Macaca mulatta: one gene and its partner. The protein of the gene in region 1 interacts with the protein of each later gene in a pairwise test. Links are inferred from orthologs where the notes say so. Each region holds a gene or a part of one and is shown on either strand. Other genes may lie near its edges.

What was found.
Region 2: the proteins of SWSAP1 (region 1) and ZSWIM7 interact in binary tests that used the Homo sapiens proteins (3 or more experiments, as listed by UniProt). The link is inferred for Macaca mulatta from reciprocal best matches to the Homo sapiens genes SWSAP1 and ZSWIM7.

What each region holds. Positions count from the first base shown.
Region 1 is NC_133424.1:12,109,128-12,112,955, forward strand, and holds SWSAP1 (ATPase SWSAP1), read left to right. Parts: upstream 1-1,617; 5' UTR 1,618-1,632; coding exon 1,633-1,881; intron 1,882-2,466; coding exon 2,467-2,970; 3' UTR 2,971-3,318; downstream 3,319-3,828. UniProt on the Homo sapiens protein: ATPase which is preferentially stimulated by single-stranded DNA and is involved in homologous recombination repair (HRR). Has a DNA-binding activity which is independent of its ATPase activity.
Region 2 is NC_133421.1:18,147,596-18,150,789, forward strand, and holds the end of ZSWIM7 (zinc finger SWIM domain-containing protein 7), read left to right. Parts: intron 1-268; coding exon 269-373; intron 374-997; exon of another isoform or gene 998-1,097; intron 1,098-1,129; exon of another isoform or gene 1,130-1,264; intron 1,265-2,044; coding exon 2,045-2,158; 3' UTR 2,159-2,161; exon of another isoform or gene 2,162-2,162; intron 2,163-2,291; 3' UTR 2,292-2,475; downstream 2,476-3,194. UniProt on the Homo sapiens protein: Involved in early stages of the homologous recombination repair (HRR) pathway of double-stranded DNA breaks arising during DNA replication or induced by DNA-damaging agents. Required for meiotic progression, hence for fertility.

The DNA of each region.
Region 1 (3,828 bases):
GATCTCCTGACCTCATGATCTGCCCACCTCAGCCTCCCAAAGTGCTGGGATTACAGGCATGAGCCACACCGCGCCCAGTGATATTAAAAATTAGCACCTGGCTAATTTTTAAGTATTTTGTAGAGATGGGGTCTCACTACATTGCCCAGGCTGGTCTTGAACTCTTGGCCTCAAGCAATCCTCCTGCCTTGGCCTCCCAAAGCACTGGGACTACAGACATAAGCCACCATACCAGGCCTGTTTGTGCATCTGGAGTGTTGAAATGTGAGGTGAATCATGGGTTGTGTATCTGCTGGGGGATGGGGACTGAGGTAGGGTGTTTGACAGCGCAGTGTATCGGTGTGCTTCACTGTGTGTGTCTGCGTGTGTAGTGGCAATGTCATAGTTACGTGTTTTGCAAGAGAAAGGGTGTGGGGGATGAATGTGGGACAGAGTTTGTATGGGATGCTTTGTGTCAGGATAGGGCAAGGTTGGAGCATGTGCATGATGGAGATTCTGAAAATAGAATATATTCAGAGATGCCGTGGTGGGTGTGTGTGTGTGTAGAGGGGTGTGAGGGTGCCCAGCTGTGTGAGTGGGTGTGTTGGGGGATGTCGTGGAGCTGTTTTCTGGTCCCAGAGGGAGAGAGAAAGCCCAGGAAATCTCACTTTCTCCCTGCCCCTGGGTCTCCAGGCAACGGCACCACTTTGGAGTTACCAGGAGACAAGGTTGCCAGGGCAACACAGGCGTGAGTGGCAGCTCTGGGACGAAGTCTGGGTGAGAAGATCCAGCCAGGGATCACGATCATTCACTTTGTTCCTCCCTTTCTCCCTGTTTCTCATCAATCCCACTTCCCTTCCTTCATTGTCTTAACGAGCCTGTATTTGAGAACCTACAAATGTGCCAGGTGCTATTGTGGGTACTGGAGAACAGAAGTGAACAAGACAAACACTGTCCCTGCTGTATGTCTCCTTCAGTGTTTCAGCGCCTGTCTCTTTGTCTCTCCCGCTCCCTTCTTTGTCCTGCGGTCCTGCCCTCCCCCCGCACCACAAGGAAGGCCCCACAGAACCCCTTAGCCAGTGAGGAAGTTGAGAGCCTTCATCTCACAGACTTTCGGGGACGGCTGTGTCCCTGAGCCTGTGTCCCCAGACACACACTCCTGCCCATACTCAGGTGCACAGAAAGACAAGCACACAGCTCATCCCCCTCTTCAATTCTCAGTTGTCATTGGATGACATCAGCAAAACCACACACAAATACATGCCGATCACAATACTCCTCTGAGATATCATAAACCCCATTTTACAGGAGGGCAAACTGAGGCTAGGCGACTTTAAAGAATATGTCACTCATTCTGGTCTGCTCCTCCAATTCTTAATCCTTATATTTGTCTCATTAGCTGACAATAACAGTATTCGTGCTGGTTCCCCCAGCAGCCTCCCTTAAGGAAGGGCCTTATTTCCCTATTTCCCTCGAATGCACCCTTTCCTCCGCATAGGTTCTAACCCTTCGCTCATTCCCCAGAGGAATCGAGTTTTGATGGACAGATTCCTAAACCAATAGAGAAACTAAGTGAACTGTACCGAAGCGGCCTCGACTTGGGCGGGACTAAGACTGGGAAAGAGCCACCAATTGGACAGAGCTACGCGGCGAATGGCGGAGACGCTGAGGCGGGTGCTGACCAGGGACGGTGCGGCCTGGTCCGGGGAGGAGAACACGGCTTCCGCCGGACCGCCTTTGCTGCTTCTCGGCGCACCAGGGTCTGGAAAAACAGCGCTGCTATTTGCTGCGGCCCTAGAGGCGGCGGGGGAGGGCCAAGGCCCAGTCCTCTTCCTGACACGGAGGCCTCTACAAAGCCTGCCCCGCGGGACCGGAACGACTCTAGACCCAATGCGACTCCAGGTAACTGTGCGGTGGGAGTGGAGGCGTTCTAGCCAATGGTGGAGTAGATCCGGGACTACTGAGTGACAGGTAGACAAGCCCATGGAGGGGACGGTGGAAGGGCGGGCCAGGGCAGCCACGATGGGGCGGAGTCAGGCAGGCGCAGTGAGGGGTGGCACCACGCGGAGCTTAATTAAGATTGAAGTGAGAGCCCATCCAATGATGGGCGGTGTTAGCAAGAGGCGGTGCCCAGAGGGTGAAGTCAGGCCCATCAAGGGGCGGGGCCAAGCTTGGGTCCATTCAGGACCAGAGTTGGCTCCTGTTGGTGTCAAGGATGAGGTCAGACCGACAATGCAATGCTGGGGGACGGTTTTCCGTGGAAAAACTGCCCTAGAGATTTGGCCAAAAACAAGCAAAAATGACTTGCCCTCAACTAATACTCGGCAGTGATGAGTGCTGGAAAAAGGGACGAATACAAGAATATTTAACCACTCTGAGCTGGTTCATCCTGGAACCAAGGAAAGTATGCAAGGAGGCAGGGTTCTCTTGCAAGCAGTCTGGCTTCTTGTGCTGAATCCGGCCCTTTCCTTCTGTTTCTCCTTCTAGAAGATCCGCTTCCAGTACCCACCCTCAACCCGAGAGCTTTTCCGGCTCCTGTGCTCTGCCCATGAAGCCCCGGGGCCAGCCCCCTCCCTTCTGCTGCTCGATGGCCTAGAAGAGTACCTAGCGGAAGACCCAGAGCCCCAGGAAGCCGCCTACCTCATTGCCTTACTTCTAGACACAGCTGCCCACTTCAGCCACCGGCTTGGGCCTGGCCGGGACTGTGGGCTCATGGTGGCCCTCCAGACCCAGGAGGAGGCAGATAGTGGGGACGTCCTGCACCTGGCACTGCTCCAGCGGTATTTTCCTGCCCAGTGCTGGCTGCAGCCAGATGCACCAGGTCCAGGAGAACACGGCCTCCGAGCCTGCCTGGATCCAGGCGGGCTGGGCCCCAGAACAGAGTGGTGGGTGACTTTCCGATCAGATGGAGAAATGATGATTGCTCCATGGCCCACCCAGGCTGGTGACCCCAGCTCAGGCAAGGGTTCAAGCTCTGGAGGCCAGCCCTGAGCTTTGGTGGGTGACCACCTCTCTGTGTTTCAGTTGCCCATGGCTACTTACCTCAGGGACATATGCAGATCCAAAGACCTAAACAATGTAAAGTGCTTTTTCTCTTTTAAAAGTATAGCATTATCTTGTATCTATTGTACCCAATCAATATATTGTTTAGTTTTGTTGCTTTAAACTTTATAAAAAGAGCTTCAGGCCGGGCGTGGTGGCTCACGCCTGTAATCCCAGCACTTAGGGAGGCTGAGGCAGGCAGGTTACCAGAGGTCAGGAGTTGGGAGACCAGCCTGCCCAACATGATGAAACCCTGTATCAACTAAAAATACAATAAAAATCAGCTGGGTGTGGTGGCAGGTGCCTGTAATCCTAGCTACTCGGGAGGCTTAGGCAGGAGAATCGCTTGAACCCAGGAGGCGGAGGTTGCAGTGAGCCAAGATTGTGCCATTACACTCCAGCCTGGGCGACAAAGCGAGACTCCCAAAAAAAAAAAAAAAAAAAAAAGTTTCATGATAAACATAATCTTCTGAGACTTCCTTTTTGCACTCAACGTTGTTACTAAGATTCAGCTACATTTTTTTAGTTCATTCCTTTTTCCGTATTGCATATAATTCCATGGGTGACTATACCCTGATTTCTTCATTAGATTGCCTTATTTACTGCTGTGAACATTCTTGCACACATGTCCTGGCACGTGTGTGTGTTTTCAGGGGCCGAGACAGGTGGATCACCTGAGGTCAGGAGTTGGAGACCAGCCCAGCCAACATGGTGAAACCCCGTCTCTACTAAAAATACAAAACTTAGCCAGGCGTGGTGGCTGGCACCTGTAATCCCAGCTACTTGGGAGGCTGAGACAGGAGAATG
Region 2 (3,194 bases), on another chromosome or scaffold:
GAAGAGAATGGTCTATGTGGTTGGTTGAACTAATCTGAAACTTTTCAATTCCTTTATATGAAGTCCTAAAGGTAAGCACTGAGGTGAGGAAGGGAGAGTCTGCACGCTGAAGGAAGAGAAGTTGTTTCGTCTTTCATGTAAAACATAACTGCAGTTCTTCTCAGTGCAATTTGCAGAGCAGCTCTGAGTCTACATAGATAAAAAGGGAAAGAGGTGGTTTTTCGAGCACATCATCTGAGGTCTGATCCCATCTATCCTTTCTTTGTAGGTGCTTGGAAGTTCTGGTAAAACATACACGTGTCTGGCTTCTTGTCATTACTGTTCATGTCCTGCATTTGCCTTCTCAGTGCTACGGAAGAGTGACAGCATCCTGGTGAGGACGGGGAAGGCTCTTCCCACTGTAGTTGAATGTAGAGAGAAATTGGCCTTACTTTGTGGTTTAACTATTTTACAAAATGGGAATCTTACTACATGTTGAAACAAATGGTAGCTTTTTGTCCTTGACTTCAGTTAGTCATCTCTTAGGGGTTTAGCCTCTCAAAATGCAATGTCATTTTTAGAACTACATCAATTTCCTGAATTTTTATTTAAAAGATCATGAGTGAAGCTTTGAGAAGTAAAAAAAGGGGAATTAGATGGCCCCATAAAAGTATGAACTAAAATTCGATGTTGGCAACTTTGCATATCCTACCTTCAGCCATGTCGTATATCTTTGCACTACCTGTAAGACAGCCTGACACCACACTTGACCTTCACATGGGGCATGAGTACCTTCACCTATTCCTTTAAGCCTTTGCCAATTTCATCAGAGTCCAGATCATGAAGCAGAAACAGGACATACTCATACACACCTTATTCCAAAGGGAAAAACGCCACCTTCCTGAAAGCAGGCAGCTATTTTTTAAGTCTTGCCAAAGAAGCAAATAATGGTGTCCACTCCATTCTTCCCTTCTTTTACACTGTTAACTTCTTAAACATCTTGGGACCTGGCTGGCAAGTTGGGTATACCATTGTACAAGAGACCACATTCATAACTGATGTGCCGGAAGTTTATCTCAACTGCAAGAGACAGGATTGAACCAGGGCCCCTTCAGGATCTAAAGCTGTGTTCTCTGACATCAGCTGCAACATAAAGCTGTGTTCTCTGACATCAGCTGCAACATAATCATCTCCCCAGAAGCGTGTACAGGCCAATATATGCAAGAGTTTCGCCACTACTCCCCGCCCCCCAACCCCAGAAGTATAACACAGTAGCTAAGAGAGTAGCCTAGAGACTCTGATGAGCATCTGGGTACAATACCTGTCTTCCTAGGGAGCTGTCAGATTTCAGTGAGGTAATCTGTGGAAAGCACTTCACAGCATAGTGCCTCAAGGAATGTTAGCCATTGCTGTGACAGCTTTCTGAAGGCAAGGAAGAAATATCACTTAGGACTAAAGTGAGGAGCGCAGCTAGTCTTGGTTTTCACCATGGGTTACATACCTTGTGCCTGATGGATCTAAGCCGTTTTCCAAAGCAGCAGGCAAAGTAAGTCTGTCTTTGTCCACTCTGATTTCTAAAGAGAATACACCTGTCTCATTATCTTTATCTGCAGTTTTTATTTATTTATTTTTTGAGATGGAGTCTGGCTCTGTCGCCCAGGCTATAGTGCAGTGGCGTGATCTCAGCTCACTGCAGCCTCTACCTCCTGGGTTCAAGCGATTCTCATGCCTCAGCCTCCTGAGTATCTGGAATTACAGGCGTGCACCACCATGCCCAGCTAATTTTTGTATTTTTAGTGGAGATGGGGTTTTGCCACATCAGCCCAGCTGGTCTTGAACTCCTGACCTCAAGTGATCCACATGCCTCGGCCTCCCAAAGTGCTGGGATGACAGGCATGAGCCACCATGCCCGGCCTGTCCAGTTTTTAGACAATCAGTTAGAGACCCTGTAATCTGTGTGCTCTAGTCTTTTCCTGCCAAATAAGATGGTAATGAGAAATCTTGGTTAGACTGGCCAGCCTCGGCCCTGCCTATTTCTAATAGGTGTGTGTGTTTTATATTCCAGTGCAAGCATCTCTTGGCAGTTTACCTTAGTCAGGTTATGAGGACTTGTCAGCAGCTAAGTGTCTCCGACAAGCAGTTGACTGACATATTATTGATGGAGAAGAAACAAGCATAAAAGGTACAGATTGAGCATCCTTCTTTCAAAATAGAATCCTGTCAAGAAATGCATTTAAAATGTCACGATTCACAAGGAAAAGAGGTGAAATAGATCTTCAGACACTTCATGTTACTATCCCTTTTCCCTCCAGGACTGCAGGAGGTGCTGTGGGTTGGAGCCGTGGGCTGTGGAGGGTTTGCGTATGATTAGAAGCCTTGTACAGTCTTCTCAAGAAAAACCCTAAGCCAGTCTCTGAGGTGCTTGGGTAAAAAATGTCCCTGGATGGAATCAAGATTTTAAATTCAAATAAAGCCTAATATCATGTTGTGTCCACATTACTTAGCCTTTTATTTTGAGACGGAGTCTCACTCTGCTGCCCAGGCTGGAGTGCAGTGGCATGATCTCAGCTCATTGCAAGCTCTGCCTCCCAGGTTCAAGCTATTCTCCTGCCTCAGCCTCCTGAGTAGCTGGGACTACAGGTGCCCACCACCACGCCCGGCTAATTTTTTTGTATACACACAGAGTTAAATTATTTTACTTAGTAAAATTTTCACACTTTGGGTTCCAAGAACTTAACGAAACTTCAACTTTGGAGAGAAGCAAAATTCCCTACCTAGCTCTAGAAGGCAGAATTTGGTAGAGGAGGGATCCCATTTCACCAGTTTCTTCCCCACGGGTAGTTTTCTGTATATGGAAAGGAATGGAGCTTAAAATTACATGATGAAAATTTGACTTATGAGAATATCATTTCCCTAAATTAATACAGCAGTTTTTTGATTGAATAATTATACTTTTTTTTTTTTTGAGACGGAGTCTCACTCTGTCACCCAGGCTGGAGTGCAGTGATGCAATCTGGGCTCACTGCAGCCTCCACCTCCCAGATTCACGTGATTCTCCTGCCTCAGCCTCCCAAGTAGCTGGGACTACAGGCACGTGCCACCATACCTGGCTAATTTTTGTATTTTTTAGTAGAGATGGGGTTGCACCATATTGGACAGGCTGGTTTTGAACTCCTAACCTCATGATCCGCCCGCCTTGGCCTCCGAAAGTGCTG